2 linked regions of the Drosophila melanogaster genome follow. Each later gene encodes a partner of the first gene's protein in a complex. Each region holds a gene or a part of one and is shown on either strand. Other genes may lie near its edges.

Region 1 (6,528 bases):
TCAGTAAGGCGAAGTAAACGCTTCTCTAGAAACGTTTGTTTGCTGTTGGCTGTATTATTTTGGGAAGAAACAAGAAGCGGCTTCATATCAGAAGGAATTTTAGAAGCCATCTGCTCCTCGACCTCGGCCAACTTTAAACGGCGATCCAATAAGTCATCTAATCTAGATTTGCGAGCCACTTTTGAATAATAAGTACGGCCTGGAGCATTTAGCGCTTTGCTGACGTCGATGTGCCCTTTGATTTTCTCCGTAACATCTTCTATAACTTTCACATTTTTATATTGGTCCGGTAAATAATGACACACCTGACCATCGACATTGCTTGACTCACATTGTTGCATAAACCGTTGGGTGCGTGGGTCGACTAAAATAATTTCATTTACGTCGTTTTCCTCTCCCATGGTGTAATGTACGTAGACTCTATTGTGTGTTAGAGGTTGGGCTCGACGTGCACGAACACCACAGCGTCGACTGCTTGAGAGCCAAAGCCAGCCCCATTGCCCGTGGACCCGGTATTCTTCTCCTTTTTGCTTCCAGACTTGATGTTTGAGACCCAGGGTATACTTTATGTAGTTAAATGCTAAGCGATTACGTTCTTCCTCATCATCCCGCTCGCGCTTCTCTCGCTTTTCTAGTTTTTTTCGCTCCTCTCGTTCGGCACTAGTTATGCGTTGCAAAGTTGTGTGTCCGAGTTGCTCATGCCAGACGTTGGCAAAAACAACGCTCTTAAGGGACGCTTGAAAAAGTAACAATACTACCGCAAATTCAGAAGGTCGACGGGCGTTCATCACCGCAGCATTCCAAATTTTTTTGTTAACTACCCAGTTAATATTTAAAAAGGAAGCTGCTATATTGGATTCGAAGTTTATCAATGTTTGCCTTAGAGTTGTTATCATATTGTCAGTAGTTCCCATGGTTATACCGATCCATTTAAAGTCAGAAGCCGTCGTTAACGAGAACTTATGGGACAGATGGCGTCGCTTATCTCGCTCCTCGTTTCGTTGCGGCTTGTTGAGTGCAATTGGATTTGTTGAATACTGGTTGACATAGTTCTTAAATCCTTGCTCCATGCCAAGTTTAAAATGCAAAGTACCATTAGTCAGCTGATTGGATTTTTGACGCGTGACCATTTTACATTCTTCTTGTTTTTTTGTTCCCTCTATAGATTGACTCTCAGATTTAGCATCACCATCTTTTTCATCCTCGTCAAGCACCTCTTTCTCCAAAAGTTCATTTTTAGCCTCTTGTTCGATTTCGATAACACTACGCTTCGTGTGTTTGTGTTCATTGGTTAAGGTCTCAGTCAGTTTCATTTGGCGCTCGATTTCGTCTCTCCTTTCTGTAATCTGGCTATGCAGACGAGTTTCCAGTTCTTCGGCGTCCAGTCGACTGAGCAGCAATTTTAACTTACTTGTCGTACTGTAATACCAGCATGTAAAGTTCTCCTGATCCTCGATAAAAATGCGACGTGCAATAAACCAATATTTGCGCCCATGACGATCAACACCGAGGCTATCATGCCGGATTAGCACGCCTTGTTTTTCTTGTGGCAACACGCAGTCCACTACGCCACTTACCTTATGCGAGCGGCAAAGCCCGCACTGCCAATCCTCAGTAGGTACGTCATTCATTGGCGGGTCTACACATTCCAAATGATAGACAGCAGGGCACGTCTCGCAACATAATAAATCACCGAGCCGATGGCACACTCGGCAATGGTCATCATAATGAATAGGTCCCTCCTGCAGCATTACATCTCGTATAGAATTGGAAGTTAAAAATTGATCTGACAGAAACTGGAGCACTTCAAGCCGGTTGTCAATGCCCGTGTAAGGGTATTCAGTGTGGCTTAAAATGTGAAACACGTTGCGATCAAATGTCTTATCGCTTTCTACATAGCTTCGCAAAACTTCCGGCCACGTTATAGAGTCAATCAGGTAAAGACTTATATTAACCGTATCTTTTTGATCCAGCGGGCCAAAATGTGTACCCTGCGCGTCCTCTTCTCGAAGAATCGCTTTAAGCAGCATTATGTGTACCTCCGTCAATAATGCACTTTGCTCCTCACAAGCCAGCGCTGCACACAAGTCTTCAAATCGGAATGGTGAAAGGCGGACCATGTGGCGAAATCGTCGCAGTACTTCATAGATACTTAGCGCGCGCAAAACGTGTGTATTAGCAATGAAAAGATCCTCCGACGAGTCCGGCAAATCAAGCGCTGCATACTGACGACCTTCCTGCAGCCACACAGGTTCTGGGCTAGGAGGACGTGGCGGCCGACCAACTCCATTTTGGTTAAAGCTGCACACGGAAAACTCTGATTCGCTCTCGTTGGCTACTTCTAGGCTCTCGTCGTCGCTGGGAGTAAGCAGCATATCATCCTCATTATCGGATTTATCTTCTTCGGAATCCCCAAAATCTGACCCGTAGTGATACTCCGACTCGTACCCTGAAAAGAGGAACAGTAGCTCTTAGAACCAATATGATTTCACCAACACCTAAGTGCATAAAACCTGACATACTGTCACTGCTATTGTGGACCCAATTTCTACTGAATTGTATTTAAGTAATTGTTATTAAACTCATGCCAACTAGACTGAAAGATTTTTTGTCGTAAGATTTCAAAAATAATCGTTGGTATTAGAGCAGATAGACCTATCGAAACTGACTCGCCCGGTAGTGGTTGTCACGAAAATATTAAATTTGATCTTTTATGAAGCGGAAGCTCTTTAACGCACAGGAAAACTCGTTTGAAGTATGAGTACCATTCAAAACGATCAAAGTTTTCTCCACTGCAATCAATATATGGCACATTATGTTCCCTATTAATCTTCGAACTAGTCAGAGCGAAACTGTAAGTCTTGACTCCCAAGTTAGAGTTTAGGTGCCCCTTTAACCCACCTTTCCTTCCAGAGTAGCTACTGGTGTTCGGTTGCACGGCGGATTTGCGGCCTCGTCCCCTCTTAGCGGCGCTCCCGCGACTGCGATTGGTGTGGTTGTTGTGGCTGCTCCTGCTGCCCTCGTCGCTCTGTGGAGAAATGCCCCTGGATGCCGACGGAGTGCTGGGCTGCGACTTTCCCTCGCTGAGATACTTCGGCTTCTTGAGAAGCTGGTAATTGAAGCGTCCTGATGCGCGTTCGTTGGGCGTCTTTGGCGGACGTCCACGTTTACGGCTGCCGCGACCGCTCATCTTGTTTGTTTTCGCCTTGCGTATTTATCTGGCTGTGTGCAGGGGTGCGTGGGGGTACTCTCCTCAGATATTGTTCCAAGTTAATGCTGCGAGGCTGCACATTAGATCTGAAACGAAAATTAACCCATTAGTACACGGTGCCACAGGAACGCACACCGCATCTCACTCGCACTCAGCTAGCTATGTATTTACGGGGCACATTCAAACACACATTTACTCAACAGCGTATGTGGGGGAAAAATCGATCAGATCGTCAAAAGTTTGTCGTTGGGTGTTCACTTTCTTTGTATTGCGCAAATTTGGAGTTGAAAAAAACCCGCCAAAAGAGCTTGTTTAGTTCAGAATAACGGTTCCGATTAAATACATTAAGTACATGTATTCAAAACACATTCTTGGCTTCTAGTGTTGGACGGCAAACGCACTGGACAGCACCACCAAGTTCGATTGTATGTGTGCGAGTGCGATGAAATGAAGCCAACGCACATTGTCCGCCATTTAAGCAACCGTGAAAATTTTTGCGTCTGTTTAAATGTCACTCTTCTTTCACAATTAACACATGGATTAACTGCGCAAATTACCCAGCATGTTGCGGAATAATTGCACAGGATTTAACACGATATATTCTAATATTTTTAACTATCTTCAGCACACTGCGAAAGAGACTTTTACCTAACATTACAGTTTTGAACATAGCTAAAGACGGTGTACAGTCGGCCAATCACAGCGACTCTTCTATTGCGTGAAGTCAGAAGCGTCCTCTTGCGGTCGGCTTGGAGAACTAATTCTTTATGGTTGCACAAACGATATAGGCAGGGTTGCTTTTGGCATTTACGCTGAACCGCACTGACAGATGTATTTTTATTTTTATCGACGTGTTGAGCGGGCGTTTAAAGAAAACCCGTTAACTTGTAATCAAAATAAACTTACCTTTGCTCACTATCTTAAAAATTAAAACGGTATTTTTGATGCGGTAAAAAAAATGTATTTTTTTGTAAATTTATTTTAGTGTATTACATTCTACCCAATTTCGCATTTTAAATCCTGGTGATCTCATTTCGTAAATTGCCGACCACGAAAAATCCATTAAAAATGTTATCGATAATAAGTTGCCGTTACGATTTTTTGTTTACTGGGAAAGGTTTTTATATTATTATTACTTAAATTTTTTAAAAAATTATTCTAAAAATACTAAATTAAAGTATTTTAATTGTGTTTGTTGAGAAATGTGTTATTGTTAAAGAAATTAGGGTAAACAATTTGCTTTGAAGCCCTGAAAACATCGTTATCTTATCGCCTGCACAAAGTGATTCCATTGCAGAATTAAAACTTCTTTTTCGCTAGTATTACTTTATTAATCAAGCTCAGTGGTTGCATTTTAAATAGCAAGCATAAATTATTTGACATGTACGTAAACAATAATTGCCATAAATAGTTTATTTTTAAAAATACAATAATTGAATAAAATATGATCTAATCAAATAATCAGTGCGCAAAAATTGACATTTAACGCGGTTTTGTATAAGTTGATGAGTGTAATTTTCCGAGTATTGATCAATTCTAAGGAATGTGCTACCACATTCGTCTGACGTCATGTGTTATATTATGATAACGCACTCTACTGGTATCTTACACAGATAAGATAGCCCATATCTTACCAGTTCCCACACCACCTAACTAATGTCAAAATTTGGTTTGTTTACATACTTTCTGTGTAAACGAACTCGGCAATTTTGTTTTATTCATTTTATGCTATATATTTTTTGTAGATTGGTTGAAAAGGCAATATGAATCTAGGCCACTGGAATTTTCTCCTAGCTCTAATCAGTTTACAAACGTTTTTTAACGCCTCCGCACAGATAAGCACTGTAAATAACAGTTCGAAGGGATCAAACAACTCAAAGTAAGAAATACTCAAAATATTTGTTTTCGAAAAATACTAATTTTGGAATCTTTGCATTTTCTATAATATATTTTGCTTTGCTTAGTATTTTCCATGAAGACACATTCAATAGCACTTCGATTGACGTTCTGGACGCCTCAATACATTCAACACTGGTTGTACCTCAAACATATTCGACAGAAGCTGCAACAATATCAGGTGCTAGGTTCGCAACCTCTGTTCCTGTTCAAAGTCCTGTAGACAACCCGTTAGATCCGGCGGACTGTTCTCAACGGGAAAAGTACAGAAAGCAACCAGTTGCAACACCATCGTCTCGTTTAAGAAAATGCTGCCCACATGGAGAAAACTTAAATATATATCGGGAAAATCAAAGCGATTCGATGTGCGACAACGGGCTCTTAAGCTTCGAACCGACTATAATAAGTGCAGTTCTGTTCGATAACTGCATTGAAGATTTGGAGGTTGAGACTACGCTCGACTACGACATTGGAAATCCGTGCAACAGGTATGAAAGCGAATGTTAAATTGAATCAAAGTACAAATTCTTCTGCAAAATTAGTTCTCTTTTGTACGACGACAAAGACGATGTTTTCTTTGTTCTGCAAGACGGTTCGTTATTAATCATCGACAAATTTGGCAACGAATCATACACTGTGAAGGAACATTATTGCTTGGATATTGATAAGTCAGGACACTTGTTTGCCTTTACATGTGTAACCCAAGTGGAAGAACAAATTGCCTTCGCAAAAGTAAGTCAATGTAACATTATTTTCTATTTACCAACGGATGAATATTATTTCAGGTCGTTTTTGTTGCCGTTCTTATGCTTATATCTATGCCCTGCCTGCTATTAGTTAGTTATTTGCACATGACACTTCGTTTATTGCGTAACTTGCATGGTCTCTCGCTAAGTTTGATGTCTCTGTGCTTGGCGTCTGGATACTTTGTGCACTCCGTTGTGCACATCTATGGGATCCCGAACCAAGGGTTCATTGGCTACGTCATACAGTTTTGTATTTTAAGTTACTTCTTCTGGTACTTGTGCATATGCTTCAATGTTCTTTTGAATGTGTGGTACAAGTTGCCTTGCTGCATTCAATGCTCAAAGAGTTGGGCCACCTTTAATTTTGCGTGTTACGCTGTTTTTGCCTTTTCCGGACCGGCCACAATAGTTGCACTAACTGTTCAAAAAGGACTCCCAGGAATGCCGTCTTACTTTCTGCAAGGCAAGTTATTGACTTTAATAGTTAAAAGTATAAGTAGTAACATATGTATTATTTAAAGGCCTAACTGAATCCATCCGAGATTCCCAACGTTACTTTATTCCTCCAGTGTCTACTATACTTTTTCTAAGTTTTTTGGTAAGCACTTCTTTTCGTACCTGTTTTTTGTTTTATGCAATTGTACATTCTTAGCTTAACATCATATCGTTCTTCGG
Region 2 (6,103 bases), on another chromosome or scaffold:
AAACCCTGTAAATTAATAAAGGATAATCAATCATTCGCTGGCTATTTGAGAGCATCAAAATTGTGATAAATGAGAATTAGAATGCGAATGCGCGACGCAGGACACCGCCAGAGAAAGAGACCGCCATACAGAAGGCGACAGAGACAGACAGACTGCAGCTGGCGATTTGCGCGCGTTTCTGGCGCGACTAAAAACGCCTGCTTACCGTTTTTGTTTTGGTACGTTATAATTTTCTTTTGTTTTTAATTAATTATTTGATTTTTGACCTTGTGCATTCTTGGCTTTTAACTAGCACTCAAGCTAAAAATTTGACCAACTATGCTTTACTTTTTGTTAAATTCCTCAATAATCCTCGAACTGTTGAGCTCGTATTTTTTGAGCAAACAAACAGAACAAGATTTTGAGAACAATAATTTTTGTGATATATTCAACCATACCTGAATATGGCTTTTGAACTTTGGCTCTTTTTTCTTCTGAGCAAGCTATACACCAAATTAAAAAAAATCAGGTTTCCTAATTCCTCCTCCTCCTTTTGTTTTTGAACACAGGCAAGAATGCTTCGGATCGCCCTTCTTCAACGCCTGCATAGAGGCTCTTCAGCTGCACGAGGAGATGGACAAGTATAACGAATGGCGCGATACCCTGGGTCGCAAGTAAAGTGCGATTCTCTGGGATTTTCTGGCACCGTCACTGGCACGAGCAGCTACTTAATTCTATGAACTATTAACTAAAACTATTATTATTGATAACTGTGGCAGAACACGGCACGAAACTATGGCAACCAGGAAACGATCGACCCGAGGAATGTGTACCACTTGAAGAAACAACTAAGCTAACATCTAGCTACAAGAGAAAGCAGAGCAAAAATGTTGAAAAAAAAATTATGAAGACAATTACTAAACTATTACACGCTACTTATCCGCACTTATATCGGAAAGTCTAAATTGGTCTATATGTTATTTCTATCATCTGTCATGAAACAGTCTCGTGGAGCTTTTAGTTGTAGTGAATTACGTAAATTATGCTTATTTCTTTTAGTTCTTCGCGCAGAAGGAAAGCAAAAAGTTATGCCAAGAATCAAATATGAGAAGAAACAAACAAAAAAAAAACAAGCAAACAAAAAAACGAACGAACAAACGAACAAGAATCAAAATGTCTGATGTATATAACTATTTTTGTCTTCTTTTAAAGATTTCTATACATATTTATAACGCCTAACTGATTTGTACATTTCTTTTATTTCGTAAGCTTAAGTTAATTTGTTACGGCAATAAATTTTACGTTCCACACCTTCCCACACATGCTCTCCTGCAATAGAACGGAAATCACATCTGAGCAACACCACACGGCATAATTCGATTCGATTCTATGTAGTATTGCAATGCCTTACAATTACATAACTTTTAATTAATTTAAACTTGTTTGGATCTAGTCGTAAAATATAAATAAAGATTGTATATTTCAAGAGGAATCGACAGCGAATTTGATTGCGGTGCAAAACTTTATTCAACGTACGATAATATTTCAGTATTAATAATTCACAAGTGCAAGCATTTTCGATTCGATTGGACTACAGATAGATCATGGATCTTGTGATGGAATCAGCCCAGGAGAACATCTCACTTGAGATGAATGAAATGCCAAGTGTCGACTGCAATTACAAAGGACGTAAATTGGTATAAAAAGGGTTTATTTCAGGATAACATTCAGTATAAAGTATATGTACAACGATTAACGAACGCAAGCAAGCCAATTACATAAATTGGGTTTCAGCAGTATTTACAGCATGGAGTAATCTCAATTTAGCTTGCTAACTGGACAATTAAAGTAGCTATTAGTAAGCGTGCAGGTTGTGTTTGTGTAACCAATTTGTTTGCAAGTTACTGGTGGTTAAAGCGTGTGTTGGAGTAGTGTGTTTTTGGTTGGGATCGGGTGAAGCAGCTATAAGTTCGATCTAATATAGTGAACCTTACCTGTATCAGACACCTCCTCGACCTGGCCGCCATCGGGGGCCTCGGCCAGTATCTTCTCGGCCTCCTCCTTGGGAATGACGTGCTCCGAGTTGCGGTTGGTGATGTTGGTGCTGCGAAACGGACGTACTTAGGATTAATTGTAAATGTATAAAATGGCATTTAACCCACGTGGAGATGGACCCGGATGCGGGGCTCTGGTGCACCAAGTTCTGCCAGAACTTGTGGGTCTCGGCAATGATGGTGTTGGCAAAGTCCGCATTCTTGGCATCGCCGTTGAAAGCAAACTGATTCTCAGGCTTGCCATCGGGGATCTTGTAGATCTGCGAAATGCAAAGGGTAAGAGAGGGAATCGTCCGAAAATCGAATTCCACCCACCTTGAACCACTCAACGGTGGCACGAAGCAGACCCGGGAAGTACTGGTCCACATCGGCGATATCATTGACTTTCGAGGCCAACGGATCGTTCACATCGATGGCGATTATCTTCCAGTCGGTTTCGCCCTCGTCAATCAAGGCAATGGTGCCCAGCACCTTGACCTTCAGCACGTCGCCGCGCTTAGCCACTCGGTAGCCAATCTCGATGACATCGATGGGATCGTTGTCACCCTTGCAGCCGGTGGAGGGCTCGATGTGGTCGGGGTTTTCCCAGGTCTGGGGCAGGGCTCCGTAGTTCCAGATGTAGCCCTTGTGCGGGAAGCAGTTGGCCACGAACCGCAGCTTACCCTTCTTGATGTCCTGCTTGATGGGATTCATAGGGGTCTTCAAGCTAATCTAAGGGTCAGACATGCAATTTTTGTATTATTCAGAAGTATGAATCTTAGGGACAGGCAGACCGACCTCCATTTTCGCGTTGGTCCAACGTGGCACCTCCACCACCATGTTGTAGATAGTTTTCTCCTCGTTGGCGTACAGTGGAATGTCGTGCATCGGCGAGATGACATTGCCGCACTTGTTTTCTGTGGAGAATGGCCAGAAATTATTATGCCTGATATATGGGCGACACCTGGACACGCGATTTGATTAATAGTGACCGGGGACCTGTCGGCTAGACAAAGGTCACTAATTTGCGTGCCAGTAAACCGAAATTCAGCCACCAGTTTCGATATCTGCTATTCGGAATATGGGCTAATAAAGGAAAGAGATAAGCCCAAAGGGGCCGAAACTCTTGGTGTTTCCGCCATTTCCGACGCAAGACAAATCGGATCGGCTGATAGTGCTGATAATGCGTCGAGTTAAATAAGCAGAGTCCGGTTTGACCTGTTGCATAACCATTCCGGTACCGATCAACTAATTCTAGGTGCATTAACTGCACCGAGTTTGGGTAACTTGCAAATGCGCAAGCAAAGGGTTAAGCCGGGTCACATTCACATTTGGCCCCCAATGCGCTACTCTACTCACTGAAATACAGGCTGTAGCTCGGCGAATTCTTAGCGCCCTTCTCAACGGTTTCGTACAGAGCCATCTCGTGTGATTTCGTGCGCTTCCGTTCTATCTGAATATATCTGCAATTGCTGGCAAGGGCCGCTGGTGACGTTGGAATCGAGCCGGACAAGCGACCAACCGCACGTGAAGCGTAAAATGAACTCCTTGTAATTTTCGCCAACATTTTCTTCAGCCCTGAGTTGAGTCTATCGATAGGGCGATAGGACCCGATTTTACAGTTAACAGTGCTGCTCAGAAAATGTATAGCTCGATTCCATTTCATCCATTCCAATGGAGAATGAACTTCATTTTTTCATACAATTAGAACTATTATTATAAATATTATTATATGAAAACTATAACATTATAATTATTATTATTAAATATAAAATACAATATTGTAATTATAATTATTATACAAATCTATTTACAGTATAAATAAGACAACTATCAAAACCTTAAAGATTATTTAGTTTTTGTCAAATCGTAAAAACTTAAACAAAATATGCTTTGAATATGTTCATACCTGCAGAAGAAGCACTTAGAAATATTTTAAAAGTTTCATATAAGTGATTGAATTTTTTATAAATTCGAAGTCAATAGGTTTTACTTGTACTGGTTACTGATCGTTGCGAAATTGTCCGAATTCTGGTCATGTTAACTTAACATTAACAAAGCTTCCAACTGGGAACTATCGGTGCTATCGGGGATCCGAGCAGTGTCATCGATAACATTGGCAATCGAGTTTTCTAAATTCTGAGTTTTCTTTTCGTCTGTCGTGTGTGCGTGTTGCCTTGCTTTCGAGTTGGCGTTGCAAAAATTCCCCTTTATTTTGCTGACGAGATATTCCAAAAGAGTAAACAAACCGGGGGATCCAAGAAACCCCAGCTTTTATCCGAAAGCAGTCGTTACACGTACATTTTCAAGTGCCCGTGGCAACAAGTAAATTCCCCCCCTCCATTCACTGCAAAATCTCTAGTGAAATGCAGAACGGAAAACCGAGATCTTCGGCCAGGCCGTCGTTCCACCGCCGTCCCAAAGACGGAGTGGCCAACACCACCACTGATAACGCTGCTGTCAAGCCGGAGGCCTTGGAGAGCTATACGGGCAACGACGACAACGCCTGCGTGGTGTGCTTCAAAAACGTGGAAATTTTCTCCATCGGCGACTGTGATCATCCCGTGTGCTACGAGTGCTCCACTCGGATGAGGGTTCTCTGCCAGCAGAACGAGTGCCCCATCTGCCGCCACGTCCTGTCCAAGGTAAGTCCTGCGCTTGTCTAGAGAACCGAATCTCTATCTAATTCTAAAACACTTGCAGGTTTTGTTCACACTGGACAAGCTGCCCTATCGCGAACTGGAGGCAAATAACCGCTCTGATTTATACAGCAAGAAGTACCGCATCGGCTTCTGCACCGCAGAGATAAGACAGCAATTCTTCAAATTGCTCGACCATCCCTGCCCGAAGTGAGTATTCTGCCCGCACTTGAGTTGCACCATTGAGGCTCACCCTTCTACGCTAAATTGCAGATGCGATGCACCTCCATACCGCACGTTCGAGGGCCTTCGCAACCATGTTCGCAGCGAGCATAAACTTCTGTACTGTGACCTATGCGTCGAGACCCTCAATATCTTCACCTTCGAACGGAGGTGCTACACTCAGGCGGAGCTGCAGCTACACAACACCAAGGGCGATCCGGACAATCGGTCGCATCGCGGTCATCCGTTGTGCGAATACTGCAATAAACGCTATGTGGACCGTGATGAGTTGTTCCGTCATTTGCGCCGCGAGCACTACTTCTGCCACTTTTGCGACGCCGATGGTTGCAATGAGTTCTACAATGACTATGCGGATCTGGCGGAACATTTCCGGGCGGAGCACTTTCTCTGCGAGGAGGGTAAGTGCGCCACCGAGCAGTTTGTCGGCGCATTCCGCAACGAAATCGAGTACAAGGCGCACGTGGCCAACGTGCACGGCAAGTCGCTCAACAAGCAGCAGGCCAAGCAGACGCGCACCTTGCAGGTGGAGATCACTTTGGGGCCTCGTGGCCGTAGTGGGCAGACGGAGCAGGGCATAACCAGCGTGAGAACCAGGTGAGTGAGCGGCCATCCAATTTGAAGAAGGCACTCTTAGAATGGTAAACCTTACAGGAATGACGAGCACAACGACTACCAGAACGATTTGCCTTCGATCACCCAGCGCCATGTGAGCATTGATGCTGGCAACGAGGAACAGTTTCCCACATTGAGAGGCGCTTCCACAGCTCCCAGCGTATCCTTGGTGAGACCGCCACCGCCCTCGATGCGCAATCTTAGTGGAACTTCTGGTCTTGCTCGGACCAAAGAAAACTTCCCGGCTCTGGGAGGAGGAAATGGAGGTGGTGTTACTGGGCCCACTAGCAGCAGCATTGCCGCCCGGGCTGCTCAATCGCAGCACCCCGTGGCAGCTGTCTTTAAGAAACCCACAAGCGCGGCAGGTTCTGGCAGTCGAAGTGGGCCTCCCGGTAACGGAATGCTCCTGCATGTGTCAAATCGATCAGCAGCCGTGCCCAAAAAGGCAGCCACGCCGCAGGTAGACTTTCCTGCATTACCGGGTAAGGGGAACAAGAAGAATCTGCGCAACCTGGAGGAGGATATGCTGCCTAGCGGATCGCCAGTGCCGATGGCGAACATCTCCGCTAAGCATCGGTCTCTAGCCGATGACTACGT

What was found. The genes of interacting proteins can lie anywhere in the genome.
Region 2: E(bx) (region 1) and Nurf-38 share a complex: the UniProt entries of both Drosophila melanogaster proteins name them as parts of the NURF complex.

Annotation. Positions count from the first base shown.
Region 1 is NT_037436.4:243,027-249,554, forward strand, and holds the start of E(bx) (enhancer of bithorax), read right to left. Parts: upstream 3,887-6,528; 5' UTR 3,357-3,886; intron 3,298-3,356; 5' UTR 3,191-3,297; coding exon 2,902-3,190; intron 2,450-2,901; coding exon 1-2,449. Other genes in the region: mthl14 (methuselah-like 14), read left to right, coding at 4,975-5,090, 5,176-5,595, 5,650-5,839, 5,893-6,316, 6,375-6,451, 6,506-6,528. UniProt on the Drosophila melanogaster protein: Histone-binding component of NURF (nucleosome remodeling factor), a complex which catalyzes ATP-dependent nucleosome sliding and facilitates transcription of chromatin.
Region 2 is NT_033778.4:24,557,482-24,563,584, forward strand, and holds Nurf-38 (nucleosome remodeling factor - 38kD), read right to left. Parts: upstream 3,607-6,103; 5' UTR 3,580-3,606; coding exon 3,372-3,579; intron 2,930-3,371; coding exon 2,811-2,929; intron 2,745-2,810; coding exon 2,349-2,744; intron 2,294-2,348; coding exon 2,142-2,293; intron 2,084-2,141; coding exon 1,974-2,083; coding exon of another isoform or gene 1,942-1,973; exon of another isoform or gene 1,671-1,941; intron 1,652-1,670; coding exon 1,620-1,651; 3' UTR 1,486-1,619; downstream 1-1,485. Other genes in the region: CG11414 (uncharacterized protein), read left to right, coding at 4,379-4,657, 4,716-4,861, 4,925-5,488, 5,546-6,103. UniProt on the Drosophila melanogaster protein: Component of NURF (nucleosome remodeling factor), a complex which catalyzes ATP-dependent nucleosome sliding and facilitates transcription of chromatin.